2 linked regions of the Tamandua tetradactyla genome follow. The protein of the gene in region 2 interacts with the protein of the main gene of each other region in a pairwise test. Links are inferred from orthologs where the notes say so. Each region holds a gene or a part of one and is shown on either strand. Other genes may lie near its edges. The genes, in order: UNKL and BAG4.

What was found.
Region 1: the proteins of BAG4 (region 2) and UNKL interact in binary tests that used the Homo sapiens proteins (3 or more experiments, as listed by UniProt). The link is inferred for Tamandua tetradactyla from reciprocal best matches to the Homo sapiens genes BAG4 and UNKL.

What each region holds. Positions count from the first base shown.
Region 1 is NC_135349.1:56,010,931-56,027,121, reverse strand, and holds the start of UNKL (putative E3 ubiquitin-protein ligase UNKL), read right to left. Parts: upstream 7,057-16,191; 5' UTR 7,043-7,056; coding exon 6,966-7,042; intron 5,859-6,965; coding exon 5,649-5,858; intron 1-5,648. Other genes in the region: UQCC4 (ubiquinol-cytochrome c reductase complex assembly factor 4), read right to left, coding at 11,422-11,797, 11,884-11,915. UniProt on the Homo sapiens protein: May participate in a protein complex showing an E3 ligase activity regulated by RAC1. Ubiquitination is directed towards itself and possibly other substrates, such as SMARCD2/BAF60b. Intrinsic E3 ligase activity has not been proven.
Region 2 is NC_135352.1:5,118,619-5,135,045, forward strand, and holds the start of BAG4 (BAG family molecular chaperone regulator 4), read right to left. Parts: upstream 7,332-16,427; 5' UTR 7,299-7,331; coding exon 7,029-7,298; intron 6,750-7,028; exon of another isoform or gene 6,523-6,749; intron 1-6,522. UniProt on the Homo sapiens protein: Inhibits the chaperone activity of HSP70/HSC70 by promoting substrate release. Prevents constitutive TNFRSF1A signaling. Negative regulator of PRKN translocation to damaged mitochondria.

The sequences.
Region 1 (16,191 bases), on a different chromosome or scaffold from region 2:
AGCATGGGACTGCCCCACCCACACGTCCGCCCCTGAGTACACCAGTACGGCCCTAGCGGTTCTGAGCCAGGTGGTCTGGCCTGGATTTGCACTGCTGGCAATTTTACTCCTAGGTATATGCCCAAAAGAATTGAAAGCAGGGACTGGAACAGTTATTTGCACACAAATATTCATCTAGGCATTATTCACAATTACCAAACAGGGGAAGAAACCCAAATGTCTATTGATAGACAAGTAGATAAACAAATATGGTTTAATCATAGGATGGAATATTATTCAGCATTAAAAAGGAATGAAGTCCTGACGCATGCAACCTTGAAGACACTGCACTGAGTCAAAGCCGGACGCAGAAGGACAAATATTGCACAATTTCATTTTCGTGGCATTTTCGTTTGTAAAGCTGCAGGAATGCAATATACCAGAAACAGGACAGCTTTTGAGAAAGGAATTTATTAAGCTGCAAGTTTACAGTTCTAAAGCCATAGAAATGTCCAAACTAAGGCATCCAGGGAAAGACAGATTGACTCAAGAAAGGGCTGATGAGGTTCAGGTTTCTTTCTCAGCTAGGAAGGCACATGTTGACATCTGCTAGCTTTCTCTCCCAGCTTCTTCAAACAGCTTCCCTAGGGGCATTTTCTTTCTGCATCTCCAAAGGTCTTTTGCTATGTGTTCTCTGAAGCTTCTCCCAAAACGGTTCCCTTTTAAAGAACACTAGTAAGCAATTCTGCCTTGAGTGGGTGGAGACACATCTTCATGGAAATCACCTAATCACCAGATCCCCCCACCCAATGGGATCGGTCACATCTCCAAGGAAACAATATAAAAAGATCCCAATCAACAATATTGAATGAGGATTTAAAAGCATGGCTTTTCTGGGGTATACGACAGTTTTAAACCAACATATTCTGGAATCCCTAGAAATGCACGAGACAGAAAGTAGATTAGAGGTTACAAGGGCTGGGAAGCAAGTGCTTCATGAGGCCAGAGCTTCTGTTTGCAGTGATGAAAGTGTTCTGGAAAGAGACAGTGGGGACACCACACCCTGAACATACTTAACGCCACTCACTTGTTCACTTGAAAATGGTTAACGAGGCAGATCTTACATTTTATATATATATATATAATGTAATTTACATGTAAAACAGCAATTACTTTTTTTAAAAGAGAAGCAAGACTGACCAACCAAACAGCTTTAGTTTGCTGAAGCTGCCGGAATGCAATATTCCAAAAATGGAATGGCTTTAAAGGAGATGTATTAAATTACAAGTTTACAGTTCTAAGACCTTAAAAATGTCCAAACTAAGGCATCCGGAGAAAGATACCTTGACTCCAAAGAAAGGCCAAATGGCATCTGGGATTTCTCTGACAACTGGGAAGGCACATGGCTGGCGTCTGAGGTCCCTGCTCCTGGTTCATTGCTTTGTGCTTCTGTTTCCTATGGTTTCCTCTCTGAGCATCTGCAGGCCTTCCATTAGCTCCTTCAGAACACAGCTCTGGGTTCTGGCTTGCTTAGCATATCATGGGAATTGACATGAAGAAGTTTGCTGGGCTCCTCTCCAGTCTTCTGGTTTCAAACAGCTCTGGCAGATCCTGTGGATCCTTCTGGCATTTTCCTCTACATCTCCAAATGTCTCTGTCTAAGTCTGTGTCCGCTCTTTTAAGGACTCCAGCAAACTGATCAAGATCCACCTTGAATGGGCGGAGTCAAATCTCCAGCTAATCAAAAAGGCCCCACCCACAACTGGCTGTGTCACATCTCCAGGGAAACAACCTAATCAAGAGGTCCTACCCCTACAATATTGGATCAGGATTAAAAGAACATGGCTGCCCCCACAAGACTGGATTTAGAATTAAAAGAACATGACTTTTCTGGGGTATGTAACAGTTTCAAACCCGCACACATGAGTACAGAAAATAAGTGACAGTAGGAAGATGGGAAAAAACAGGCTAGGCAGTTGCCCATATCTGCCCTCTCCTTTCGGATACCATGCCCAGCAAATCTGTCAGCTCAGCTGTGCCCCCCACCCTGCCCACAGCTCCCAAGGGCTGCCCATGACTCCCTAGTCAGGACAGAAACTTCACCGTTCCCCTAATCTGGACTTCCAGCTCCAGCAAGTCCAAGACCCCCACCCCACCCTCTTAGCGCCCTCGCAGCAGCCCCCTCTCCAGGCACTTCCTACCAGGACCAATGCCACCCCTGCTCGGTCACACAAAGCAGGACGGGTCAGAGCATGGCCACCACTCAGTGACCTTACACGTTTTTCCTATGTGCATGTTACAGATTCTAACCCAACAACCTGATGGTGCTTTCCCTCAAACTAGTATCCATTAACCAAAAAGCTGTGTCTCCTTCCAGGGTGTGAGGAACCCCTGACACTTCAATGTGGCGCTGTGATGGTCAAGCCTGCTGCTTCTCTTCGCCCTAAAGCCCAGGCAGAGTTTACCCACAAGATCAGTTTTAGCCACTCAGAAGCCCCAGGCAGGAAAAAATTTGTGCCTTAGGTCCAAAAGCACCAGACTTTTTAATATTAAATCCTGACTCAAACCAGCAACAACAGTCTTACTCAGAAGGAGATACTTGGAAAAGTTTTCTCTTAAAATCGGTCCTACAGACAGTGGCCAGGCAGCCTTGGCTATTCATAGCGGGGAGCCCCACACAATCACCTTCACCCACCAGGCCAGGGGTTCTGCTCCAGACAGCCTTAGGGGGGACACGCCAGGGAGCAAGTGGGAAGGGCCCAGCCCTGTAGCCCCTGGTAACCAAGGGTCCCCACCTGCCACCAGGTGCCAGGAAGTTCCCCTCGAAGGCCACTGGCCCCCAGGAAGCCAGGTATTTTGCATCATGGGTGGGATTCCACGCTGAGGTCTTGAAGTGGGGGTGGGAGGGTGGGCAACAGACCTGAGTTTATGGGTGGGAGCAGGTCCAGAGTCCTGCGCTGGAGCCAGTCACAGCCCCTTGCAACACTTGATGTCCCTCATCGGAGGGGGTGGACCCTGAGAGACCTCCAGAGGTAAGAGAAAGTCAGGCACAGGAGAAATACCTGCGATCAATCCAGAGGTCAGAATTCTACTGCGAAGGAGGAGTAAACACTGGGAACCAGGCTTGGGAAGGAAGCCGGGTCCTTAAGGCCTCCAGTAGCGTCCTAATTCTTGCTACGTGCTGGGTATCAAAACCCAGCTAGACAGAGGCAGTCCTGCCTACCCGGAGCCGGGCGCACCTCCACCAGGGGCCAGGCGTGCCCCCGCTTCGACCACAGTTCCCACGGGGGAGGGGCCGGCAGCCACCTGGGTGGGGGTGGCCAATCGCCGCTGGCGCCTGGCGAGGGGCGGGACCGCTCAGAACAAAGGGCGTTTTCCGGAGCGACCAGCACCAGACCAGCACCACGAGTCAGCCGACTCCGCTCAGTCCCAAGGCCAGAGGGTGATCGCACGGGGAAAGGGGGTGCCCGCGGGTCGGAGGAAGGGGAGAGTGCCCGTCCACCGAGGAAACAGGGTGGCACGGGAGTGCCGCGAGGGGTGTGACCCTGGGGTGCCCGGGGAGAGGTGGCGGCATGGATGCAGGCGATGGAGGGGAAGGCCCACTGAGGAAAGGCGCATTGAAGAGCGGGGATGGCGGCCAGGGTAGGTGGGAGGATGACCGTCCCCTGGGGTCACCTCATCTGGCACCAAGAACAAGCTCTATGCTTACTTCACCTGAAACTGGCCGCAGGGCCGCTGCTCTTTGACACTCTTGTTCTAAAATAACAGGTTGGGAGAACACGTGCCCAAAAGGGAAATCACAAAAACAAAAACCGCAACTGAAATACAAGCAAGTTCGCCAGTCCTTACTCTGAAAGGTAGGTCTGTTTAGAATTCACGGCCATGCTGCCTGAACCAGAATATGGGGTTCAGCAGGCCAAAGTTGGGGCTATTTCATTTGTGCCTGATGGGAAAGTCCATCTCCAGGTGGACTGAGGCCAGGACTCAGCAGGACTCCATAGGGTCCCGCCCCTAAAACATCTCCAAGGGACAAGCAGGTCCCTCCAGGTGCTCACGGAGGTCCTGTGGGAGTGTCCCACTGCAGGCAGATGTCCCCAGGAGGACTCCCAAATAGAAAACATCACACCCCTATCCTGGCGTGCAGTAAACCAGGCACCATTTAGAACGTCAGCTCTGTGGTTCCAGTTAGCATTTCTGTAACGCATGAGTTCCACGTTATGTACTCATGCATGCAAAGGGAACTGGCTGCTGTAGGCAGGTGCTCCCTGCCACTGTGCCGTCCCAGTAAGTACTGGACCTACCTAGTGCCCAGTATTGGGGTTCAATAACTGGACAGTTCAGCTCTGGAATCCGAAACAGCTGTTAAAAGACACGTCCTTTTGTGTGTTAAAACATTACCAATTAATGCTGCCCCAGAATCCACTCTGGGATGGGACCAGGCAGCAGTGGCCCCACCACGGGACCCGAGGTCTACAGAGGTGATTGCTTGGACAAGGGCCATGAATAAAGAGGGACCAAAGCAGTGTCTCCACCACACAAATACCTCCTAGTAGGGCAGGAAGCAATTAAACACAGCATTTTCAAAACTGCACGGAAGAATAAATCGAACTTAAACAGAAATGCTTCCAATGCAGAAAGTGCAAATGGCACTTGTCCTTAAGGACAAAGCTATTTAGCTACTTAACCATCCCACATTCAGCTAAAAACTTCAGGAAATGTTTAAAGTTTATAAAGCAATCAGACAGTGATCAAAAGTTTACTCTCTGGCTGAAGGATTTTTGAAAAATACAGGAAAGCAGCCATCTTGCCAGGTTCTGTGGGGTTGGGGTGAGGGGCACTCCTGAAGCGGCAGCCCTCCCCAAGGGCATCAGGGGACTGAGCCCTCAGACCCACCAGCTCCAACCTATCCCGAGAGAAGCTGAGCAGGCAGCTCCCGTTAGGGGTCCCTACATGCCTCACCTTTAGCCCAAAAAGAAGCACCCAGCAGGAAAGAGTAAAACTCCCGCTATGGATTCCCACCCATTATGTGAATACATAACCTGACTTGTATTTCCCCATTCTACATATTTCAAAATAAAGACATCTGTTCATAACACCATTAGGAAACTTGCAAAAAAAAAAAAAATCAACCCAAACAAAATCTTGATTTCTTAAATTTTAAAAGTGCTATAGAAGTGACAGTCGGCAAATAAAATAACTTACTATCTATCCGTTTTTAAAAATTAAAAGTTTAAACAGCAAGAAAGAAAATATTCCAGATGCACAGGGACATAGAGCCAATAAATTTTAGTATAAACTGTTCCTCTGGAATCGACCACAACTAAGAAACGGCGGGCACCAGGGCTGTTATACCACATAAAGCTGGTTCTGACGAAGGTTCTTTGGAAAACTGTGGCACAGTCAAAAGTAGGAGGCAGGACAATTTCGGTTTATCCCGAAAACCCACACAGTCGCCCACACTTGCCTAAAAATAGGGAAGGCCCCCTCCCCACCGTCTGCAGCGTAAAAGCATGATCCCCACTGTGCGGCGCCACGTGTTGAGAGGTACCCAGAGGGTTTCTGACGCGCCAGGGCCACGCTGCCTGCGAGACCCAGGCCAGCGGCGACTCTGGCAATTGCACACCCAAAGGGCGCCCCGTGCGTCCCGGCTGCGTCCCGCGCGCACTCACTCGTCGCCGTCGGGGCACACGCCGCTGGCCTCGTCGTACTTGGCGCAGTACACGTCGGGGCTGTAGTTGAAGGTGCCATCGCGCCTGCGGAGGGGTCTGCGCCGACGCTGGTTTAGGAAATGCCAGTGGAAGCAGGTAAACGGCCTGTGCTGGGCGCACTTGTGCTGCAGAAACAGCGAGCACTGCTCTGTCCTAAACTCCTTTAGGTACCTAAAAAAACACACAGCGCTGCGGGTCGGGCGGCCGGGGGGGCTCCGGGACGCGGGAGACCCCAGGCCCGATCCCCGACCGCAGGCGCAGCCCCCCAAGCCCCAGGCGCGGTCTCCCGGGACCTCTGACTTCAGGCGCGGGCCCCCGATCCCAGGCACACCCCTGCCCTCAATAACTGCAGCTACTACCTCAGATCCCAAGCGGCGACAGGCAGGGTCCAGGTGAGAGGCCACCCCCGACCCCAGAGGCGGTCTCCCAGACCCTAGGCGCAGAAAGCCCCCACCCGCAGGATCCGTGGCTAAGCGTGAAACCCAGAACTCCAGATGCAGTCCTGACCCCCAAGCCTAGGTGCCACCCCAGAGCCCATGCGCCGGCCCCCAACCCAAGGCGGCAGCAGCCCAAGGCCAGCCGGTCGTATCCCACTCGCCATTCCGGCGCAGACCCCCGACCCAAGAGGCGGCCCCCGGCTCCCAAGCCAAGATGCCACCCTAGACCCCAGGCCAGGTCCCCCCCGCCTCAAGCACTATTCCTGCCCCCAGAATCCAAGCTCGGTCATCCAGACACTTGACCCCAAGCGCAGTTCCCGACCCCTGACGCTAAGCCCGTGGCCCCCTAATCCCTGGTGATCCCGCACCCAAAGTATTAGCTCGATCCCGACGCAGTCCCGACCCAGACCCCAGGTACGGACCCGACCCCGGGGATCATCCCCGACGCGGACCCACACCTCAACCATGACCCCTGACCCCGAGCCCCGGCACGGTCCCAGAGCCAGGCACCCGGCGCGCTCTCTGACACCGATTTCCGGCACGGTCCCCGACCCCAACCACCCGGACCACCCCCAACCCCCATGGCCGGCGCGGTCCCGAAGCCCCGGAGAGCGGAAGCGGCTGCGGCGGGGACGGAGCAGAGGATCGGCGGGCGGGCGGCGGCAGGGCGCGGACCCCCCCAGCCCAGGCCGCACCGGGGACCGCCCCAGGCCCAGGAGCCGGACTGCGGGCACGCGCAGGCCGGGCGCGCACGAGGCCGCTTCCCGCCTCCGGCCCTCCGCGCGCCCCGGCATCGGCGGCTCGGCATCCAGGGCGGCGGCGGCGCGGGCCCGGGGCTGACCTGTAGTGGGTCGGCTTCTCCGTCTGCGGGGGGGACCCGCTCAGCGCCGCCGCCGCCGCTTTCGAAACCGACGGCATTTTCAGTCAAAACAATGCAGCGCGCATGCGCCGCGCGGACCCGCCCCCGCCCCTCCGGGTCTCCCCCCACCCGCGCCGAGCCCACCCGCGCCCCCCACCCCTCCCGGCCCCGCCCCCGGCCCCGCCCCCCAGGTAGCGCTCGCGGGCGGGGGGCGGTCCCGGACCGCGCAGCGCCCACCGCCCCGGAAGGCGTCAGCACCCGCCCGCGCCGCGGACACGCGAGCGCAGCTCTCTCGGCCGGCGGACCCCAGCCCAAGCTCCTGCCGCGACACTGTCCGGTGGAGCGCGCGGCCTCGGCCATCCCCGTGTCTCGCGGTACTCAGCGTCGCCTGCGTCCCAACCCCTCCCCCCGAAGCCCACCGCCCTCACCCCCGCATCTTCTCTTTCCCGACCCCGGAGCCCCTCCTAGCCGTCAGCCGTCTCCGCTCCCGCCCATTCATTCTGCCAACGCTGGCACATACCCGGAGCGGATCTAGCTGGCCCCGGGACCAAGGCGAACGCGCCGTGTGCCCAGTGCTGGGACACACCCGCGGCCTGCACGCGCACTTTCACTCATTCCTGGACTCCCCGAATTGTGCTAGGTGCGGAGGCCGCAAACAACAGATCCAATTCGGGGCGGACCGAGTGGTTGCTAATGGGGCACGGAAATGTTCTACGATTAAATTGTTGCATGGTTACACAACCCTATACCAACACCCTTTGAATTATACACTTTGTGGGTGAATTAGATAGCATGTGAATTACAGCTCAATAAAGCTGTTTTGTTCGTTTGTGTGGCTCAAGAGAGTCACACCCACACTAGTTCCCATCAGGGTGGCCAGAGAGCACACACGGGGGTGCAGAGGGAAGCCAGCGCTGAGCCCCGGCAAACATGGCCCCAGCTGGGCCAGTCCCAAGAACAAGGGGTTTGCATTTCAGGAGAAAGCTTCCAGGGAGCGTGCATTATCTTACAAATGCATAGCACACGAGGCATTTTTTAAAACATCCGATGTCACCAGTAATTTTTAAAAATGCAAATTAAAATATCGAAGTGCCTTTCGAGTTGGCAGATTTTTGTTTTCAGAACAGCAACCCACAACCAATGACCTGAGCAGGTACGCCCCCGGGAAAGGGACGGCAAACCGGTGCAGACCTCTAAGTAAAGGAAGCTATTCTATGTCGTGGAACGCCAACCTAAAAAAATCCGATTCAGACAAAGATGTATGAAGACAATTGTCAGAGAGCTATCTAGCAAAAACGAGACTGCCAATCAGCCCAGCAGTTGGAAAATGGTTAGATTATGAGTGAGTTAATAACCATTTTTCCTAAGAATTGTTAGTGACAAGAAAAAATGTTCCAGTTGAGGTTAGAAACAAAGAAAAGTTTCCACACATTCGCTCCCAATTATGTCAGTCACTTGTTTTGAAATGCAAATAACAGTAAATCACCGCTAACAGGTAGGATGGATGACTATCTCCCTCATACTTTCATTTTCTAAATTACTTTTACATTATTTAAATCTTGAAACTACAGGATTTTGATATTCTTAAAGAAAATCAAGCGGAAGCAGAAGCAAGTGGGGACAGGATCCAGGAATTCTTAGGAGGAATAAACAGATCTTGAAGACGCTGGGGATGAGAGGAAGTTTAGAATAATTCCTAGGTCTCTAGCCTGGAGGAGTGGGTAGATTATAATAAAATTAAGTGGGATATGAGGCAAAGTCTCGAAAAGGGAAAGGTTGGGGCACAGTCAAGAATCTGTTTTGAATTGAAGGAGTTCAAGCAACCTGAGATGGTCCACCAGGGAACCCTCCAGGGCTTATGAAGGAAGCTGGGGGCTTAAGATGAAGAGTTTTGAGGATCTCAGCTGTAAAGATAAGAGGGGAAGTCACCCACAGGGTTATTTTGTGCTTTTGAACAATGTTTTTAAAAAACCAGGATAAGGGGGTGCAAGGGTAGTTCAGTGGTAGAATTCTCACCCACCATGTGGGAGACCTAGGTTCGAGTCCCAACCCATGCACTTCCCCAAAAAACAAACAAGCAAAACCAGCAAAACAAAAAAAATTTCAAAAATTTTTTTTGGCTGCAATAACAGGATACCCACATGGAAAAAGAATGAAACGTGACCCCTGCCATAGAGCATGCCAAAAAAAAACAAAAACAAAAACAAAAAGTCTGGGGTAATGCTCAGACTCAGGTAAAATAAACTAGGGTTTCACCATTTTGGGGGGGGGGGGCGGGGACAATGCACAGTACTGCCACAGGCTTCTAAGACTGCTCAACAGAAAGTGACAACCTCCTCTTCCTTGAAAGCATTCTCTCAATTTCCTCCTCCTTCTGTCTAATAATTTACCATCTCACTATGCACTGGAACCACTTCCACTCTAGCATGCTTGCACTGGTATACCAACACACTTTGAATTGTACACTTTAAGTGGGTGAAGTGAGAACCGTGAATTATATCTCAACAAAGCTCTTTTGTTTGTTCAAACAAAATGCTCAAATGCTGACTGCTTTATGGGGAAGTCAACACGCCAGGTAACCTGGGAAAAAGAAAAGCAACAGCCAAATTGGGAAATAAAACAAGCATACTACAAAAACAAAAGGAGTAAGACAAAACAAACAAAGAACAGTTTAAATTGACCAGTCTGTTGTCAACCCTTGAAAAGTCCAAGTTTGGGGAGGGTTTGCCCACTGTTGCCAGCTGGCCTTGGGCCCTCCTCTTGCTTATGAAAATTTTTATCTTTGTCACTGGCACAAAACCATTAATTGGAAAGACCTTCAGATATGCCCTGGAATACTTGGGATCCTTTGCATGTGGTATGATGTCCAGCAAAACAATGCTATTATCCAACTTGTCTTTTAAAAAAAAATCTAGAAAGATAAATGACAGTGTTCACAGTAGTTACCTCTAGGTGATAGAATTACTGGTGTTTTTCTTCTTTGTGCTTCTTTTAGGGCCCGTTTTTTCCAGATAAAACATACATTGCTTTTGTATGGAAACTGCTTTTAATTAAAGAAAAGATTCTTCTCTGTTAGTTCTGCTAACTTTTTATTCCCTGCAGTAGATAGTGAGAGAAAAACGTCAAGGTTCAGGCTTGAATGACTGCTGTTCAAACAGAATGGTTCACAAGCAGACAGTCACAACCACTCCAGGCCCGGGATGACATCTTAGTCCTTTGCTATGTCTGACTGGTACTACGGAACCTGAGCTAAGATGATCAATCATACCAAACTTGGTCTCTCCAATATTAAAAAGATGACATGCTTGCATCAGCACCACCTCCTTCACAAGCGCAATTCACAGATGTGTGCAGATACCTGGATCACTCAGAAACAAGACCTGAGAAATCACTATGTTATCACCCATGGTGATTCAAAACCACTGTGCAAACAGAGAAATCGCCAATTAACTTTGGCACCACAAACAGTGAGATAAAGAAAACCTTCCATAGAAGGCTAGATTCATAAAATCTTCCCTTTATGTATTTTTAATTCAGAATCAAGCAGATTTTTTCAAGCAGTCACTTGGAAAAAAAAAAGTCATTTAGGTAACCTAAAATATTGCCCATAATTTGTCAGAGGAAATATTTACGTTTTATTCTACACAGAAAGTTGTTGGGCGGGCCATGGTGGCTCAGCAGGTAAGAGTGCTTGCCTGCCATGCCCGAGGACCTGGGTTCGATTCCCGGTGCCTGCCCATGTGAAAAAAAAAAAGAAAGTAAGTTGTTGCTTTGGCAATAACAAAGAAGTGTTCAAAAGTTGAGAAAGCCCATTATTTGGGGTATAGTTTGATAATGTATTCTACAATTTACATTGAGATTTATTTTCTCAATTCCTACTCTGGAAAAAAAGAAAAACAAAGGAACTGAAAAACACAGCTGTTGGCCTACTAAAATACCTTTTATAAAAAAAGTGAAATGCAAAAAGAAAAACAAAAAGAGTTGCCTTAATTCCACGCTACCAAATTAAAATTTATTTTCAATTTTTTTAGCGTGTAAAACTAACATCAACATATGCTCTTTACACAGAGTACATAATAAAGTTTAACTCTTCTGCCAGTTATTCTGTCTCAAAAAGCAAATGACCAGCAAAATAACAACTGGATTACAAGTGTCACCAGAAACGCTTTGAAATGATTCTGTCGCACGAAGGCAACAGGAATCTCACAGCACACAAAGCAACCAAAACCTTTCCTACGGATCTGAAAGCCTTTTGGACGCATTCAATGCATCACGTGAGGCAGATACCGATCTGCTGCACCCCACGCAAGTCGGCGTGGCCTAGTGCGCCACCCCCTGATTCTTCAGTGCAGGGAACGCACACGTGAACCAGGGCAGAAACGGTCAAACGAGACATCAAGGCCTAAGGGCGGCTGCCTCTTCCCCGCCGGGCACCTCGTTAGCTTCTCGCGCCGTCGCCAGCAGGAGCTCCAAGCTCCGCAGAACGGCCACTGGACTCCGGCATCTCTTCTTGCAACACCCGTCTCAACCACTCGTCCTTGCGGGTCTCCCGCCTCAGGAAGCACCAGACGACTAACGCCACGAGGGAGAGGCAGAGGGGCAGCACTTTCCACCAGGGTCGCTGTTGCGCCTTTCCCAGGGAGTGCCCTACAGTCCAGAGACTCGGGTTGATGTTACTGGAAGAAAACTTAATGGGTCGGTCAGGGTCCTCCTCTTCCTCCCCCTCAGTCACCGACTGGGCCCGAGCCCGGGGTCCCGGCGGCGGGTGCAGGCTTCGGGAAGCCCGGCGCACAAGCCGCAGCGCCCGGACGGTCCTGGAAGGGAGAGAGCAGTGAGCGCTCCGCCAGCCGGAGCGCCAGCCGGCTCGCCCTCGGCCCCGCTGAGAGCGCATGGAACTCACCCCGCCGCAGGAACACACAGGACGCGACTCATCTCCGCCCGAGCTCCGCGGTCGGGGCCGCGGCGCGCCGCTTTGCGTCACTTCCGTCGCGCGAAGCCGGAAGCCGGACGCCGCCCAGGGCTCCACTCACGACCACAGAACGTGGGCCCGGTCGCGCAACGGAAATGAGGCAGTTCCCAGAGGCCTCTTCCGTCGTAGGCCCCGCCCCCGGAGGGCCGCACGGGCTTGCTGGGAAATGTAGTTCTTTTTTTAGTCGGGAGCCGAACGCGCCCGCCCGGTCCTCCGGTCGCCGGCCCGCGTGGAGTGGGGGCGGCCTCCTCCGACGGGCTGGCCTCTGAGAAGCGGCGCCCCCGGCTACTGCCCCGTCTCGCGAGCTCTCCGGCCCGCACCCCTGCACCCTCCCCGCCGCCCAGGGCGCACGCCCGCGGGGTCTCCTCCGGGAGCCCGTGCTAACGCCCTAGCCTGATTTCGTCGTCGGCCCCTTCCGCTCGCTGGAATTGCCTTTTCCCTTCCACGGTCAGTGCCGCCTTCTCCCTGGGAGGGAGCTCGGCCAGGACAGAGCCCGGCCTCCCCCACTCCTCTGCATCCCCAGGCTAGACCAGGCGCGCGCAGGGAACTGTGCTGTTGCGTGATGGCCGGTCCGTATCCTCGTTGCTGGGTGTTGCTCACGGAGAGCTGTGTCTGCTCCCAGAGCAGCTCAGGCCCGGCAGGCTGGGAAAGCCTAAGGGCTCTCAGGGCGACACCGGTGGATGCGCTCCTCGCTGAGCCGGGGGGCGATGGTCCCCAGCCCAAGACAGCCGGTCCTGCCAAGGCCCCGTGGGGAAGTCCTGCCACAGGCATGCCCCCGGGCCAAGCCCGCAGACTCCCGTGTCCACAGCTTTGTGGACTCAGCCTGCGAGGAGGCACTGGGCGGCCCCAGGGGAAGCTGCTGGCATCATCTGTCCCTACCGCCGGCTCAAGTTCTGCTGATGGGCCTGAGAGCCCACAGGAGCCGAGTCGCCTTCGCAGCTCCTGGGGGGGCCGTCTGTGTAACTCCATGCCCACATGTGTGTGCAGCTGTGATTTAGGTAAAGCTCATCTTTTAATATTCAGCCATACAGAATATTATCTCATGGGTACGTACAACAGAAACTACACTGTCTCACAAGAAAATAAACCAGATGCAGTTGGACTCGTCCCAGGGCAGGCTGAGGTGTTGAGCTCAAATCTGTGTTCTGTTCTTGTGGCTGTACAGCAGTTATAAGGAATAAAACCTTTTCCACCTTGTCCCTGTCACAAGAGGCAAATACAACTGTAAATCCCAGAAACCTTTGAGTGTCTCTGCTCCCCACGTGGAATTCAGATGCTTTTGTTTTATTCCAAAAGTGTGTCATGTCCCAAAAACAGTTGGGGGTGGTCGGCGTGCTAAAGGGCCGTGGTGGGTGGGAAGGCGGAACGCCTGCACTGGGGAGCCCTGCTGCCAGGAGGTGTGAAGAGCCTGTGCCGGTGGTGGGGACCCAGGCCTCACCCCCAAGACGGGCAGCGCTTCTGGCGGCAGCGTGGGTCTCAGCAAGCAGGCCCGAGATGAGCACTCCGAGGTGACCTGGACCGCCAAGGCGTGGGGGCGTCTTCTGTGGGTCCCAGGGAGGTGCGAGGTCCTTTACAACAAGACCACCCTTAGAAGTGGGGGACTGGGTAAATTTGATTTACAAAATAAAACATTGTGTTTAGAAGAAAACTGTTAATAATTTTTTACAAAAAAAAAAAATTATTTAGAAGCAAAACAACATCAACTATGCCCAGAGCTGCAGAGGAGAATTTGTACCCATGCTGGTGGCAAGATTGTTTGGAAAGCTGAACAGCCAGTGTTTGACTCTCCAGGGGAGAGAACCCCAGCTCGACGGTGGGAAGGGTCGCCTGGGCTCCCGCTTCCTTGCCCCCTTTCCGTTTCAGGTGCCCTGGTTCCGTTCAAGGTTTTGGGTGCAACTCACAGGCCCTGTCTCCAGGGCGGCAGGAGGTCCTGGCCCTGCCCCTTCCCTGTCCCCTTGTCTTCCCTGACTCTCTGCCTGGGGTCCCCCGAGGGACTGTGGTGAGGTCGCCTGGAGCTGTGAAAGGCCGCCTCTGCAGCAGCCTCTCCCGCCACGCCTCCTGGCAGAAGAGGCACCCAGGCCTCGGGGGGCCAGTATGCGCTCCCCCCCGGGGTGTCAGAGGCGCGCGGGCTCGGCCGTGTTGGGAGCCGCCCCCACCTTGAGAGGCTCGGCCCAGCCATGTTCGCAGCTGCTGTGTCAACAGGGGCACCTGTCCTCCCAGGGCCTCCTCCCCCGCCCCGCCCCGCCTGCTCCCTCTGGGCCCTGCAACGCCTTCCAGGCCTCAGAGCACCACTGTGAGCCAGATGCCGGCCTGCTCTCAGGGGCTGGCACATGCCAGATGCATCCTGCCAGTGCCAGCCCAGAGGGCTTCCTGGAGGAGGTGGGGGCAGAAGGCCCCGAGGTTAAGAGTTTTGCTCAGGCAACTGCCCAGTCAGGGCACATTAGGGACTCTGGGCACAAGCTCTGTAGTCCAGGGTAGCAGGGTGGGGGCAGAGCTGGGCAGCATGGTCAGCCGGGGATTCACTGTGCGGTAAGCAGGGAGGGGGTCGGCCTGTGTGGCCGAGTGGCCTCTTGCCTCTAGACCCCACTCTTTCTGCCCCTTGGGTCTCCTTTGTAGGCCAAAGCAGGCACGAGGGAGGGAGGCCCGGGGGCTGGACGGGGGCTGCCTGCCAGGCAGGAGTGCGCGGGGGGTACCGAGCCCCTCACAAGCCACAAACCCCACACTGAGGCCATGGAGGCTCAGGTAACAGCCACCCCTCTGTAGCCACGTGGCCCCAGGCCAGCTCAGGGTTACGCTTCTCTCCCCTGGCGCAGGTTTCTCCAGTGCAGCCCCATGGCCTCGAGCACTTCTCCACCCGGCAGCCAGGCCCAGGGTGCAGGGGCAGGAGGGCTGCAGGCCTGTCCCCTGACCCCAGCGAGCCCTTGGGGCCCGGTCACGCTGCCTCCCCCACCCACAGCCCGCGGCCCGCACCCACCCAGAGGCCAGCAGGTGGGAGCTATTGATTTCCCACAGGGAGATGATGCATCTGGGGTGGGGGGGGGGGGCGGGGGGCAGGCTGTTCCTGCCTTCTTGGGTGTGAGTCGATGCTGCCTGGGGCCTGAACAGGCAGGACATACACTTGGGCCTCAGCCCCATGCCAGGGTCCCACCAGTACCAAAATGCCACCCACCAGCCCTAGGCCCTTCCCCAGCCTGGCCCTACCAGTACCAAAAGCTTCCCGCCTCCTGACGGGGCTCCAGGGCCATCTGGAACATTGTTCAGGGCACAGGGGGGATGGGTGTGTGTGGGGGGACAGCAGATGGGGATGGGTAACCTCCTGACCCCTGAGGCCCTGGACCTGCTTTGTGACCCTCTGCCGGCGCCTGGAGGGGACCCCAGGTGCACTCTGGCCTCAGCTTCCCAGCCCCCCCAGCACCGCCCCCCGACGCCCACCTGCTCCCCCCCTCGGCCCCTCTCTGGAGTCCTCTGTCCCGGGTCGCCTCGGGGCAGGTGGAGGAAAGTACCGGAGGCACCAAGAGGTAGGCGGCGGGGCTGGGCTGTAGACCCTCAAGGCCAAGCCTGAGCCGACACCCCAAAGACCCCCCCAGGGCCCCAGCTCTGCAGAGCAAGGGGCCAGGCAGAGGGCGGGCGTGAGAAGGCGGGGTGCGGGGCCCGGGCGGGGCAGGCCCTGAGGGACGGACACCCACAGACACGGTCCCCCACGAGCCTGGTCGCCTGGTGCAGAGGCCCGGGACAGAGGGGCAGTGGGTCTGCGCCATGGCTCCCCACAGTGCGGCCCGTCTCGTGGGGTGCCAGCCTCCCGGGGTGGCTGAGACAGCACCAGGTGCTCCCCACGGCCAGGGCCGCCCCGAGGCACAGGCCGCACGGGCTCCAAGGCAGGAGCAGGGTCTTCTCGACCTTGGGGCCCCCCCGCCCGGCGCCCTGCCCTCTGCTCCCATGGGCTCCTGCTGTGGCCTCCCTCCTCCCCTTGCAGGGCCCCTGCCAGGCACAACCCCCATAAGCCCCCCCCAGATCCCGGGGGCCCCCCAGTTACAGGCTCCAGGTTCTAGGACAGAGTTGTCTTTGGGGGCCGCAACCTCGGGGGGCAGGCTGGCCTCAGTCCCCCAGAGCCTCAGAGGGCACCGTGGCAGCAGCCCCCAGGAGAGCAGGCACCTCCCCCTTGGCCTTGGCCTCAGGCCTGTGGCTTACCAGAGCCCTTCAACCTTGCCCACTTGTGCTCACCCCGGGACACTTAGGGCC
Region 2 (16,427 bases):
AGAAAGCCTGGGATAAACTGGGACCCAGCATCAAGAGATTGAGAAGGCCTTCTTGACCAAAAAAGGGAGGAGAAAAAAGAGAAAAAATAAAGTTTCAGAGGCCGAGAGTTCAAACAGAGTTGAGGATTATCCTTGAGGTTATTCTTATGAATTATATAGATATCCCTTTTTAGTTTATGGTGTATTGGAGTGGCTAGAGGGAAGTACCTGAAACACTTGACCTGTATTCCAGTAACCTAGATTCTTGAAGACAATTGTATAAAGATGTAACATTTATAATGTGACTGTGTGATTGTGAAAACATAGTGTCTGGTGCTCCTTATATCCAGGGTATGTCAGATGAGTAAAAAATACAGAAAATAAATAAACAAATAATAGGGGGGATAAGGGGTAAAATAAATTGGGAAACACTAGTGGTCAATGAAAGGGAGGAGCAAGGTGTATGGTATGTACGAGTTTTTTCATTTTTCTTTTTATTTCTTTTTCTGGAGTAATGCAAACATCCTAAAAAACAATCATGGTAATGAATATACAATGATGTGATATTTAAGCCACTGATTGTACACCAAGTACAGAATGTATGTGTGTGAAGATTTCTCAATAAAAAAAAATTAACAATAAAAAGAAGACATCAACAGTGCCACAGCAATACAAGGGATAAGTAATTGGGGAAGGGGAGGACAAGAGTTAGGGGAGGTTTGGACTTTTTCTTTGGTGAGGGTGTGTTTATCGGTTATTCTTCTCTTGGGATCAATGAAAATTGTCTAAAATTGAGAATGCTGATGATTGCACAACTAAGTGAGGATAATGTGAGACATGGATTGTTGACTTTGGACATTATACATGATGCCCAATGCCTGGAGGTAGCTGAAGGAAACAATGACTGTGCTAGTTTGCAAGGATTATGTACCCTAGAAAAGCTATGTTTTAATCTTAACCAATCTTGTGGGAGCAACCATTTCTCTTAATTACTATTCAATAATGTAAATTGGAAACATGATTGGATTATTTCCATGGAGATGTGACTCACCCAATTGTGAGTATGAACTTTTGAATAGAGAGAGGTGTGAATCCACCCATTCCAGGTGGGTCTTAATTAGTTTACTAGAATCCTTTAAAAGAGGAAGCATTTTGGAGAAAGCTTGATAGCAACAGAGCCAGAAAGTAGAGAGCCCACGCCACTTCTGGAGATAAAGAAGGAATACATTCCTGGGGGCGCTTCATGAAGCAAACAGCCTGGAGAGAAAGAAAGGAGACCGTCATTTTCACCATGTGCCTTTCCAGCTGAGAGAGAAACCCTGAACTTAATCAGCCTTTCTTGAGTAAAGGTAACCTCTTGTTGGTGCTTTTATTTGGACATTTTCACAGACTTGCTTTTAGACTTTTCCACAGCCTTAGAACTGTAAACTAGCTACTTATTAAATTCCCCTTTTTTGTGTGGAATTGTAACCCATATCAGACTCTGAAATCTGTTCTACAACTAATTGCTGCAATGTGCTTTGAAATGTATTTTGAAATGTATTGCTGTTTTTTTATATATGTTATTTTTCACGAAAGAGAAGAAAAGAGAAGGAATAATATAACAGAGAAGATAGGGTTTTACAAACGAATATCACTGCTGAATCAATATACTGCTATTTCTTTTGGTCTCCCAGTGTCTTGGAACAGTAATAAAAAAGTATATAATTTTGGAACTGTAACCCATGTGAAACTTTAAAATCTGTTGTATAGCTGCTTATTAAAATATACTTGGAAATCTAAAAAAAAAAAAATTCCCCTTTTTTAAAGCCATTCTGTTTCTGGTACATTGCATTCCAGCAGCTAGCAAACTAGAATACTGACTGAAAAGTAAAATGGTGAACTGTGGTGTATACACATGTTTAAATATTGCGTGGCTACAGAAAGGAACGAAGTTCTGAGGCATGCAATGAGGTGAATGAACCAGGGAGATATTATATTGCAAAATAAACTAGAAACAAAAGAAAAAAATGGAGAGGGGGCAAGGAAAAAAATAAGGATAAAAATTAAATAACTAATGGGGAGAATAAAGGGTAAAAAAATAAATAAATTGAAACACTAGTGGTCAGTGAGAGGGAGGGGTAAGGTGTATGGTATGCATGAGTTTTGTTTTTTTTTTTCCTTTTTCTGTAGTGATGCAAATGTTCCAAAAACAATTATGGTGACAAATACACAACTGTGTGATGATACTGCAAGACATTAATTGTATAATATGGTTGGACTGTACATGAAGATTTCTCAGTAAAAACAATAATAAAAAAAAAGGAGTCCAAGGATTTGAATAGACATTGAAATGGCCAATAAATATGTCTAACATTAACAGTCATTAATAAAATAAAACCAATACCACAGTTTGATACCATTTCACATCACTAGAATGTTTATTACTAAAAAAAACAGAAAATAACAAGAGTTGGAATAATGTGGAGAAATCAGAACCCTAGTGCGTTGCTGGTAGAAATGCAAAATGGTGCAGCTGTTATGAAAAATAGTTCGCTCAGTCCTTAAAAAAATTGAACATAGAATTACCATATGACCCAGAAATTCCACTCCTAGGCATACACCCAAAAGAAATGAAAACACGGATTCCAACAGATGCTTGTACACCGAAGTTCATAACAGCATTACTCACAATAGTCAAAAGGTAGAAATATCCCAAGTGTCCATCAGCTGATGAATAGATAAAATAATGTGGTATATATATATATATATTCTAGTTTGCTAATTGCCAGAAACGGAATGGTTTTTAAAAAGAGGAATTTACTAAGTTGCAAATTCACAGTTCTAAGGCTGTGAAATTGTCCAAATGAAAGCAAGTCTATATAAATGTCCAATCTAAGGCACCCAGGGAGATACCTTGGTTCAAGAAGACTGACGACACTCAGGGTTTCTCTCTTGCTGGGAAGGACACAAGGCGAAGTCAGCTAGCTTTCTCTTTCAGCTTCTTGTTTCATGAAGCTCCCCGGGGGTGTTTTCTGGCTGCGCAGCTTCTGTAGCTCTTTCCAAAATGGTTCCCTCTTAGAGGACTCTAGTAAGCAACCTCACCTTGAATGGGTAGAGACACACCTCCATGGAAATCATCTAATCAAAAGTTATCACCCACAACTGGGTGGTTCACATCTCCATGGGAACAATCAAAAAGCTCCCGGCCAGCAACACTGAATGAGGTTTAAAGGTCATGGCTTTTCAGGGGTTCACCATAGATTCAAACCAGCACAACAAGCAATGGAATATTATTCAGTATTAGAAGGAATGAAGTTTAGATACATATGATGACCTGGACAAACTCTGAAAGCATTATGTTAAGTGAAATAAACCAGACAGAAAAGGACAAATATTGTACAATTCCACTTAATGAAATGTCTAGAATAGGCAAATTCATAAAGAAAGAAAGATTAGAGGTTACCAGGGACTGTGGGGAGGGGGGAATGGGGAATTATGGCTTAACAGAGTCAGAGTTTCCATTTTGGTTAATGAATGCTTTTGCTAATAAAAGGTGTTGAAGGTGGCACAACACAGCAAACGTATTTAAGTACCACTGAATTGTACACTTAAAAATGGTTTCAAATGACAAATTTTATGTTATACACATTGTGATGGTTAAGTTCTGGTGTCAACTTGGCCAGGTAATGACGCCCAGTTGTCTGATCCGGCAAGCACTGGTCTAACTGCTGCTACAGGGATATTTTGTGGCTAGTTGATAAACTGAAAGGCTGGTTTACTAAATCATCAGTCAGTTGATTGCAGCTGTGGCTCATTACATCTGAGCTCAACTAACGGCAGACCCCTGCAACTGAGATAAGTCAATCAGCTGAAGACTTATCAGGGAGAAAAGAGACTTTTCACTATTTCTTCAGTCAGCAAGCTACCCCTGTGGAGTTCCTCATGACCTTCATCAGACCTGCCAGCTTCACAGCCCATACGGATTTTGGACTCTTCCATTCTCACAGTTGTGTGAGACACCTTTATAAATTTCATATTTACGAATATCTCCTGTTGGTTTTGTTTCTTTAGAAAACCCAGACTAATACATTCGTTTTACCACAACTTTAAAAAGAAGAATAAAGTTAAAAGACAAACAAGGAATTGGGGAAGCAAAAGTTTGCAACATTTGTAGACAATAGCTATGCCATTTCTAATTAGTTTTCTATTGCTGTGTAACTAGTTATCATCCAATACTTTTTTTAACTTGTTTTATTATATAGTATAACATATATACAAAGCAAAGAAATAAAAAAGCAATAGTTTTCAAAGCACTCTTCTGCAAGTAGTTACAGGCCAGATGCCAGAGTTTGTCATGGGCTACCACACGATCCTCTCAGATTTTCCTTTTCTAGCTGCTCCAGAATATAGAAGGCTAGAGGACTTGAGTATTTTTTTATCATTACAATCAACTTTTTTTCCTTCTTTTTTTTTTTTGTGAAAAATAACATACACACAAAAAAGCTACAAATTTCAAAGCACAACACCACAATTAGTTGTAGAACGTATTTCAGAGTTTGACATGGGTTACAATTTCACAATTTTAGGTTTTTACTTCTAGCTGCTCTCTAATACTGGAGACTAAAAAGAGATATCAATTTAATGATTCAGTATTCATATTCATTTGTTAAATCCTATCTTCTCTGTATAATTCCACCATCACCTTTGATCTTCCCATCCCTCCCTTTAGGGGTGTTTGAGCTATACCAATTCTAAATTTTCCATATTGGAAGGGTCTGTCACTAAAATGGGGTAGGGAGATGAAACTATCTGATGTTCTGGAGAGGCTGGGCTTGGTTTCAGGACTTATCTGGACCAGGGACCCATCTGGAGGTTGTAGGTTTCTGGAAAGTTCTTTTAGTGCATGGAGCCCTCGTGGAATCTTATATATTGCCCAAAGTGTTCTTCAGGATTGGCTGGAATGATCCTCATTGGGGGTTGGCAGGTTATGATAGGTAGCAAGGTCTACCTGAAGTTTGCATAAGCATCCAATACTTTTCATGTTTCAGAATTGTCAACCTGAAATATATGTCCAAATCTTGTAACAGTTTACAAGTGCCTATTATAAAATTCCAGTTTTACCTCCAACTACTCCAGCACTATGGGCCACCCTTTTTACATACCTACATTCCAACCACACCTGACAACTGCCTACACAATACACAAAACTTAATTTCCCTATCCTACCCAATCCCTATCAAACCCTACCCCAGAAAACACACTTTTGGTTTCATAATATAACACACTCAATAAGAAGTTCAGTGGCCCTCTCTTTCCCTTTAATTGCTTTTAAGTCTGGTTTGGCTATTTATAGGCCAAGCATTTCATAATTCTATCATGGGATTAAGTCCCTTAGCCTACATTTCCAGATTTAGGCAAAGAAAATATGGACCTCCCACTATTACATGTTTCTTTTCCCATAAAATTTTTTATTGAGATATAATTCACATATCACAAAATCCACCTTTTAAAATACACAGTCCAGTGTTTTGTTTTGTTTTGTTTTGTTTTTTAGTGTATTTAGAGTTGTGCAATCACATCTACATCTAACTTCAGGACATTTTCATCACTCCAAAAGGAAACCTAGTACTCATTAGCAGTTATTCCTCTTCCCCCAACAGCCACTAATTTTTCTGTCTCAATGGTTTTGCCTATTCTGGTCATTTCATATAAATGGAATTATACAATACGTGCTCTTTTATGACTGGTTTCATTCACTCCGCATGTTCTCACAGTTCATCATGTTGTAGCGTGTATCAGTACTTCATTCCTTTCTTTTTAATATTTTTTATTAATTAAAAAAATTACAGGAAAGAAACACAAACATTCTTAATATGTGATCATTCCATTCTACATATATAATCAGTAATTCACAATAACTTCGTTCCTTTTTAATTGCTGAATAATATTCCATTGTATCACTGTGCCATATTTTGTTTATCCATTCAACAACTGATGGCATGTGGGTTATTTACACTTTTGGGCCCTTATGAATAATCCTGCTATGAACATGAGTTACAACTTTTTGTTCGGGCATGTTTTTATTTTTCTTGGGTATATATCCAGGAATGGAATTGGGGGGTAATATGGTAACTCTATACTTAACTTTTGGGGGAACTGCCAGTTTTCCAAAGCATCTGCACCATTTTAAGTTCCCATCAGCAATGTAAACAGATTTCACTATTACATTTTCAATAAAATAAAAGATGCTATAATCGTCTAAAGGAAAAGAAGCACGCCGCCACATATACTGAAAACTCCCGACTAAGACCTACTAAGAATATTGCTTTAACAAAATAGAGGCTTATTTCCTGCAGGTAGAGAGAGAATAAAGGCTACAGGTCCTAGAATGTTAAGCAAGTAAGTTAACCTCTCAGAGCCTTCAGTTTCTTATTCGTAAAATCGGGATGCTGTAATGGTATTTACCTCGGCGTCGACGCAAAGAGCAAAAAAAAAAAAAAGCAATCCACGTAAAGGTGTCTTACAACCATATAACCCTATTCACGATTCAATCTCGGGCAGAACGTCTGGGCAAAAGGCTAAAGGCTCAGATCCCTACCCCTTCCTCAGTCTCCTTCCCCGTGAAGGGGCTGCCGAGTGACGACGGGGGCCGCGGCCACTTTCTCCTCCAGTGGAAAGCCGGTCTGCGGGGAGCCACGCAGGATAAATTGTTCAGAGCTGGAGAAGCGGAGTCGAGTCACCTCCAACCCTACGTCTCCCAGAAGAGATGGCCTGCAGCCTGCTACTGAGCAGGCGACGCAAGACCTCTTATTCCTATTTTAACGGTAATTCACTCATTTTATTATACCAAAGCAGAAAGAAGGAGGACAAGAAGAACACAAGCCTGTACCCCGCCCCATCCATCCCCAGCAGGGAGCCCGGTCTCCGTCTTCCCAACCCTCCAAAAGGATAAAAAGAATGAAACACGACCATTATGAATCCTGGAGGTCCAACAACCTAAACAGCCCTCACCCTCAAAGACACCTCCCCCCCTCCCAACTCCCTTCGACGGACGGTGAAAAGCTTACTTGGTGGCTTCCTCCAGCTCGACCCGGCTCTGTCCAGGTGACCCCGGACGAATAGTAGCCATCGCCTCCTCCGCCTTCTCCTGGCCAGGAGGTCTCGGCCGGGCCGCCCCCGCGCACCTGCCAGGAAACGTGGGGCTGGGGAGGTTCCGGGCGAGGAGGGTATATGGTGGCCGGTGGGTGCACCGGCACATCTCCTCCTCCGGGGCCGTAGTAGCGGCCGTAGGGCGGCCCATCACAGGGGCCGTAGCCCGAGCGCCTCAGGGCCGACATAGGATCCGCTGCCCAGAAGCGCTTCCCGCCCCCCACGGCCGGCCCATCGCGCAGGCGCCCGCCGGAGAGAGCGAACGGCCCAGCAGCCACGGGGAAGGGCGACCACAGCCAATCCCAGGCCCGGGCCCGCCCCTTCTACTGCCGGGTCCTGAGCAGAGCGACCGGGGTTTGAGACTTTGGGGCCTTCGAAGTAAGAGAGTGAGGGGAGGTACCGGGTTCCTCAAAAGGGAGAATACATTTTCCCACCATCTGTCCGACTTAGACTCCCCTTCCCCTCTTCCTCAGGGAAAGAGAGCGGGTGTTCGGGACCACATAACGGTCCCGCCTCTTCCTGAGGACGGGCCTGCGCACCGGAAGTGGGCGTGGCAAGATGGAGGCGTTTCCGACGGGCCCCGGCTGCTGAGAGCCCGGGTGCTGGTGCTGGTCTCGGTGCGGGTTCCGGTCACGGACCCGCCGAGGCGGCGACTGCGGTGGAAGGAACCAGGTGATAGGACGCGCCGGCAACATTCTCTCAGTTCAAAAATGAACTATATGCCCGGCACCGCCAGCCTCATCGAGGACATCGACAGTGAGTAGCTCATCTCCTCCGAATGAAGTCTGGGGTAAGACCCTTGCGGGCGCCTCTTCGGAGGAAGCCCGTGGAATAAGTCCCGGGCGGGGGCCGTGTGCTTTGAACTCATTTCTAGGTGTTCGGAGCTAACTTCTTTCGTAGCCAGAGGACACTCCGCTTGCCCACTCTCTACCCTCCTGCCTCCATCACGCCTCTCCTGGTCCCCAGGCTGGTAAGCCACGACCTGTGGGAATCATTCCGGCTTCCAAGAGACGGAGCAGCGGAGGACCGAACGCCAGAGTGGCCCCGCAGACTTCTCCTGTGTCCACTGTCTCCCACCTGCTCTGTTTTTGAAATACCAGGTTACTGGTGAATGAATGAGAATACTTTGAGAAAGAATCCTTCGGGAAAGGGCATTATTAAGACAGCAACAGTTGAATTTAATTGGCAGTAAAAGTAGGCTTTGTGCTGTGCGGCAGTGTGTAATCTTACCCTAAAGGTCTTTAACACTTTCAGGTTATGGTAGTAGAGACAGCTGCCAGACACGGTATTGACTTTCCTGGAAAGGCTTAGTCACTTCAGATTTCTTGCTTTTTCTAAGAAAATCCCTTCTTCCTGTCTACTGTCCTGAACGGGAGTACAGAAAAAGTAAGAGGAGCCACTTATAGTTGTTCTGTCTTTCCTTTTTCTAAACTCTTATGTGTGCGTTATTCCTCAAGTAAAACGTCTTAATTATGGAATTTGTCTCATTAACTTGTAAAAATGGTTGCAAAATGGTTTACACACAGTTTCAAACAAGTTTGAATTATCTCTGCAGTTCCAGTGTCAGTAGCAGAGAGTATGCAAATTAAATTCTTTTATGGTTTTCTGAGATCGTATTTTTTAAAAATCCAAATTAGTTATTTTGCTATTGAAAGGAAATGTAGTGTAAATTAAACCTAACTCATATATGAACAGCGCTATACAAACCTACGTATAATGTGTAATGAAATGTTTTGTTTTAGTTACCTAGGGATACCATTTTGCCTTCACTCCCTTTTTATATATCTGAATTATTAGAGGACCCTAACATATACTACCATTTTACTGAAAATCATTTTTGTTTTCCAGCCTCTAACTCCTCTCCCTTTATAGATTCTTGGCCCCCTCCTTTACTGAGAAATTTGAAGTCATTTGATATGCAACACCATATAGTCACATTTTCTCCTCTCCTCAGTCTTATGTATCTTCACCAATCTTCTTATTAGACTAGGAAGTATTCTTCTCTTTCTGTTCATGTCTATTATTACTTTCTTCTCCCAGTGCTTCAGGATATTTGTTCCATTAATAACCTTTCCCATATTTTGTACTCCACCCTGACCCCGATCCCTCCCTTCATATATGTAGTTGTCTTTCCATCCTCAGATTTTTTTGTCAGGTATGTCTCCCCATGAAACTCCCATCCATTTGTCATATCTTCACCCCCTAAACTTCTTGAGTTGTTGTCCTTTGACTCAGCATCCTGACCAACTGCAATAAACCACCTCTATTAGACCCACAATCTCATTTTTCTCATCACTATACTACTGAAGCTGCATCCTTAAAAATCACCAATCAACAGCTCTAATGCACTTTTTAAGATTCATCTCTTCCAATCTGGATACTGTCCCCACTGTATTCTTAATTCTACTCTCTTCTCTGACACTTATACTTGCTTTTTTTTAATCTCTCAAACTTATTATTCCCTAAAATAAGTGGTCTCTTGGGTTCTGCATTTGGCCTGCTTCTTTATTTCTCCAGGAAATCTCATGGACTTTAATAATTAAATTGACTCTTAGTGGTGGATTTGTCTAAAATTGCTCTAATTCTGACCTCTGGCATTCCATTCCGACATTTCCAGCATACTGACATTTCTACCTAGAAGTCCTGATAATACTTCAGAATCACAAACAGGTAATAAACTTCTTTCCTGACCTTGCTTCTTTTATTTCCAAATTTTGGTAAATGGTCCTCTTTGATGTGATGACTCAAAACTTGGATACTTCGTTAACTCACTTCTTCAACACCTCCACATACCCCCCATACAAACTCAGTTACTTGACAGATCCTATCACTTATACCTACAGGTTTAACCCTCTCCTCCTGTCCCTTCCTTCTTTACCTTACTTCAGATCCCTTTTTTGTGTCTCAAATAGGGGAATCATCTAACTGCTCTCCCTTTTTTTTTTTTTGATAGATCAGCTTTCAGTGTTTTCTTGTTCTCTATGAAGTCAGACCCAAACTCAACCTAACCATAATAATACCTTTCTGACTTCATCTCCTGTTTCCCTCCATATCCTCAACTTTCAGCCAAAACTTATGAATAAATAGCCTTTTCTTTTTTCCTCGGCCTAATAAACGAATTTCTCTTCTCCTTCCTTTCCCGGTCATTCTTTCCATGGCCAAAAACTTTTAAGTCCAACTTATTTATATCCTCCAGCTAGATATAGTTTCTCTCTCTGAAGTCTTATATAATTAACAGTTCCTTTCTTATGATACTTAATTGTAGCCCCAGGGAGACCATAAATTCCTTCAGGGCAGAGTCACTGTCTTGTTCCTCTGTTTCGCATCTAGGAAGTATATTATGCATGGCATTAAAGAAATGAATGAGTGAAATTTTGTTGGCTATTCTAGGACAGGCTTATTCTTTATTCTTTACATTTTAACTCAAAGTTACCCCTTTAAGAAAGATTTTCCCTTGCCACCCCTTCTATGCTACTACCCCTTTCCCCTCATCATATTCTTCTGCTATGTTGTTTATTATTTCATTGTACTAATCACAGCAGGTAATTTTCTTGTTTATCTTCCTTGACCAGGAATATAAGCTTATAAGGCCACATCCTGACCAACTGCAATAAACCACTTCTATTAGACCCACAGTCTCATTTTTCTCATCACTATACTACTGAAGCTGCATCCTTAAAAATCACCAATCAGCAGCTCTAATGCACTTTTTTTTAACTTTTTTTATTAATCAAAAAAAAGAAAAGAAATTAACACAACATTTAGAAATCATTCCATTCTACACATGCACTCAGTAATTCTTAGTATCATCACGTAGATGTATGATCATCATTTCTTAGTACATTTGCATCGATTCAGGAAAAGAACTAGCAAAAAAGCAGAAAAAGATATAGAATGTTAATATAGAGAAGAGAATTAAAATAATAATACTAATAAAAAATATATATAAAAAAAGGAAAAAGAAAAAAAACAAAAACAAAAGATACAAACAAACAAACAAAAAACTATATTTCAGGTGCAGCTTCATTCAGTGTTCCAACATAGTTACATTACACTTAGGTATTATTGTGCTGTCCATTTTTGAGTTTTTGTATCTAGTCCTGTTGCACAGTCTGTATCCCTTCAGCTCCAATTACCCATTATCTTACCCTGTTTCTAACTCCTGGTGGTCTCTGTTACCAATGATATATTCCAAGCTGATTCTCGAATGTCGGTTCACATCAGTGGGACCATAGAGTATTTGTCCTTTAGTTTTTGGCTAGACTCACTCAGCATAATGTTCTCTAGATCCATCCATGTTATTACATGCTTCATAAGTTTAGTCTGTCTTAAAGCTGCATAATATTCCATCGTAGGTATATGCCACAGTTTGTTTAGCCACTCGTCTGTTGATGGACATTTTGGCTGTTTCCATCTCTTTGCAATTGTAGATAATGCTGCTATAAACACTGGTGTGCAAATGTCCGTCTGTGTCTTTGCCCTTAAGTCCTTTGAGTAGATACCTAGCAGTGGTATTGCTGGGTCGTAATCCATTCTGCCAGTCTATGTCTTTTGATTGGGAAATTCAGTCCATTAACTTTTAGTGTTATTACTGTTTGGATAATATTTTCCTCTACCATTTTGGCTTTTGTATTATATATATCATATCTGATTTTCCTTCTTTCTACACTTTACTCCATACCTCTCTTCTCTCTTTTCGTATCTGACTCTAGTGCTCCCTTTAGTATTTCTTGCAGAGCTGGTCTCTTGGTCACAAATTCTCTCAGTGACTTTTTGTCTATAAATGTTTTAATTTCTCCTTCATTTTTGAAGGACAGTTTTGCTGGATATAGAAGTCTTGATTGGCAGTTTTTCTCTTTTAGTAATTTAAATATATCATCCCACTGTCTTCTAGTTTCCATGGTTTCTGCTGAGAAATCTACACATAGTCTTATTGGGTTTCCCTTGTATGTGATGGATTGTTTTTCTCTTGCTGCTTTCAAGATCCTCTCTTTCTCTTTGATCTCTGACATTCTAACTAGTAAGTGTCTTGGAGAACGCCTATTTGGGTCTATTCTCTTTGGGGTGCGCTGCACTTCTTGGATCTGTAAATTTAGGTCTTTCATAAGAGTTGAGAAATTTTTAGTGATAATTTCTTCCATTAGTTTTTCTCCTCCTTTTCCCTTCTCTTCTCCTTCTGGGACACCCACAACACGTATATTTGTGCGCTTCATATTGTCATTCAGTTCCCTGATCCCCTGCTCAAGTTTTTCCATTCTTTTCCCTATAGTTTCTGTTTCTTTTTGGAATTCAGATGTTCCATCCTCCAGTTCACTAATTGTAGCTTCTGTCTCTTTAGATCTACCATTGTAGGTATCCATTGTTTTTTCCATTCTTTCTTCTTTGTCCTTCACTCCCATAAGTTCTGTGATTTGTTTTTTCAGATTTTCTATTTCTTCTTTTTGTTCAGCCCATGTCTTCTTCATGTCCTCCCTCAATTTATTGATTTGGTTTTTGAAGAGTTTTTCCATTTCTGTTCATGTATTCAGCATTAGTTGTCTCAGCTCCTGTATCTCATTTGAACTATTGGTTTGTTCCTTTGACTGGGCCATATCTTCAATTTTCCGAGCGTCATCCATTATTTTCTGCTGGTGTCTGAGCATTTGATCAGATTTCCCTGGGTGTGGGACCCAGCTGGTTGAAAGGTTTTTCTGTGAAATCTCTGGGCTCTGTTTTTCTTTTCCTGCCCAGTAGGTGGCGCTCGTGGCGCTCATCTGTCTGCGGGTCCTACCAGTAAAAGATGCTGTGGCTCCTTTAACTTGCCAATCTGAATCTCGCAGTCGGCCCGGGAAACTGCGCGTGGAGGGGGGGGGTCGCCGGCCGCCGCGGCTTTGGGGAGTGCCGGTCCAAATTGCCCAGCTGGCCCGAGACGCCAAGCGTGGCGGGTGGGCCCCGCTATCCAATGTTCCCAGTCAGACCAGGGAGCCACGTGCGTGGAGGGGACCCCAGTCGCCAGCCGCCCCGGCCGGGAAAATGCGCGCCCCTCGGGTATCTCACCGCAGCGGATTCTCCCTGCCCGTTCAGCCGTTCCAGAATGGGGTACGCTGTCTTTTTGGTCTCTGTCCTGGCTCTGGGAGCTGTTTCATATTGTTTCTGTTTCTTTAGTTGCTGTTCTGGAGGAGGAACTAAGACCCGCGCGTCTTACTAAGCCGCCATCTTCTCCGGAAGTCTCTAATGCACTTTTGTTGTTGTTGTTCTTTTCTTTATTTTTTCAATTTTCTTTTTTTTTTTTTTTTTTGCTTTTTTTTGTTTGTTTTTTGTTTTTTTGTTGTTGTTGTTGTCTGATGCACTTTTTAAGATTCGTCTCTTCCAGTCTGGATAAGAGCCTTATTCTCTACAGTATATCTAGACCCCAGAACAGCACATACCTTTCAATATGTAATATTGGATTTCTCCTCCAGCTTATTCTCATAGTCCTCATTTAAATATCTAAGGCATTTTTTTTTTGTATTTATAACCATTGCTGGTTCCAAACAAATTGTGAGATAAGTTGAGAGGAAAATAATTCTAGAATTAAGATCACAGAGATATCTAGGCCAAATCTCCTAGTTTGCAGATATAGAAACTGATATCCAGAAACAAAAGAACAAATGTTGCATGGTCACGTTTAGAAAATACTATATAAGAAAACTGAGACCTAGCTTGTAAGCTCTTATAGCAGTCACATTTAGTCCAGAGCTGTAATTGTTATTTCTAGATTTTGAGGTACTGTGGTATTTATGTGGTATTTCCCTGGAACTTTGGGTACCTGTGTAACTCCTAAGACTCAGAGTAGGAGTTCTGCAGGTCTGAAAGTCAGCATTGCCACATACAACAACTGTGAAAGAAATTAAAAAAGAGATTAGGCTTCAATTAGAGATGAGAACTAAGCCTACCAGGTTGGGACTAAGGTAAATCAGAATACAGGGGTAAGGAGGAGATTGTCTATATTTTAAAACTTTACCTACCCAATGAGACCGAAGGAAAAAAAAGGTGTTTTTTTGTCCCAAATCTCAATTTTCTGTAGCAAATAATCTAACTCAGCCTGTCTGGATAGATCATTTAAACAACCCAAAAACATACAGCCCAGAATAAGAATGAAGGCATGTAATTCTGTATAGCTTAATGTACTGCCTGGATACATCCCAGACCATGTTGAACAGATCATTAAAAAGTATTGGCACAGAGACTGCTGAGCCCCGTTTGTCCGCTGCCACCTACTCCGGACACAGAACATCCAGTCATGGATAAAAATGAGTTGGTGCAGAAGGCCAAACTGGCCGAGCAGGCTGAGCGATATGATGACATGGCAGCCTGCATGAAGTCTGTAACTGAGCAAGGAGCTGAATTATCCAATGAGGAGAGGAATCTTCTCTCTGTTGCTTATAAAAATGTTGTAGGAGCTCGTAGGTCATCTTGGAGGGTCGTCTCAAGTATTGAGCAAAAGACGGAAGGTGCTGAGAAAAAACAGCAGATGGCTCGTGAATACAGAGAGAAAATTGAGACCGAGTTGAGAGATATCTGCAATGATGTACTGTCTCTTTTGGAAAAATTTTTGATCCCTAATGCCTCACAAGCAGAGAGCAAAGTCTTCTATTTGAAAATGAAAGGTGACTACTATCGTTACTTGGCTGAAGTTGCTGCTGGTGATGACAAGAAAGGGATTGTGGATCAGTCACAACAAGCGTATCAAGAGGCATTTGAAATCAGCAAAAAGGAATGCGTTGCATTCAACCGACGCATCCTATCAGATTGGGTCTAGCCCTTAACTTTTCTGTGTTCTATTATGAGATTCTGAACTCTCCGGAGAAAGCCTGCTCTCTTACAAAGACAGCTTTTGATGAAGCCATTGCTGAACTTGATACATTAAGTGAAGAGTCATACAAAGACAGCACGCTAATAATGCAGTTACTGAGAGATAACTTGACATTGTGGACATCGGATACCCAGGGAGACGAAGCTGAAGCAGAAGAAGGAGGGGAAAACTAACCGGCCTTCCAACTTTTGTCTGCCTCATCTAAAATTTACATAGTAGACCATTTGTCATCCATGCTGTCCCACAAATAGTTTTTTGTTTACGATTTATGACAGGTTTATGTTACTTCTATTTGAATTTCTGTATTTCCCATGTGGTTTTTATGTTTAATATTAGGGGAGTAGAGCCAGTTAACATTTAGAGAGTTATCTGTTTTCATCTTGAGGTGGCCAATATGGGGATGTGGAATTTTTATACAAGTTATAAATGTTTGGCATAGTACTTTTGGTACATTGTGACTTCACAAGGGCCAGTGTTAAAACTGCTTCCATGTCTAAGCAAAGAAAACTACCTACTACATATTGGTTTGTCCTGGTGGGGGATAAAAGGGATAATTGGTTCCAGTCACAAGTGTAGTTATTGTGGGTACTTTAAGGTTGGAGCACTTTCAGGGCTGTAGTAGAAATAGATAACCCATGGATGATACGTGTTTAACCATGTGTATCTGTGGAATACACAATCTCAATGTGCACACCTTTGACTACAGCTGCAGAAGTGTTCCTTTAGACAAAGTCGTGACCCAGTTTACTCTGGAGAAGGGCAGAAACGGTTCACATTCCATTGTTTGTAAAGTTACCTGCTGTTTGCTTTCATTATTTTTGCTACACTCATTTTATTTGTATTTAAATGTTTTAGGCAACCTAAGAACAAATGTGCAAGTAACTACGCAGTAAAAACGAGTTGCTTGATATTCATTACTTCATGTTTATCAAGCACAGCAGTAAAACAAAAAACCCATGTATTTAACTTTTTTAGGTTTTTTGCTTTTGTGATTTTTTTTTTTTGATACTTGCCTAACATGCATGTGCTGTAAAAATAGTTAACAGGGAAATAACTTGATGATGGCTAGCTTTGTTTAATGTCTTTTGAAATTTTCATGAACAATCCAAGCATAATTGTTAAGAACATGTGTATTAAGTTTATGTAAGTGGAATAAAAGTTTTATGAATGGACTTTTCAACTAATTTCTCTACAGCTTTTCATGTAAATTAGTCTTTTGGCTCTGAAACTTCTCTAAAAGAAATTGTACATTTTTGGAAATTAATTCCTTATTCCCTTTTGGCAGCTAATGGGCTTTTACCAAGTTTGAATAAGAAGTTTATCATTATGACAAAAATACTACTCATGTAACTACTGTTCCCAACCATGTCCCATTCTCATTTCCCTCCTTTCCTCCCTACCCCACCCCATACCCTCAAATCAGTTTCTCTTGTAGGGGGGTGGGGGGCTGTCAAGTGGATAAAAGTAATGTGTTTCATTTAAA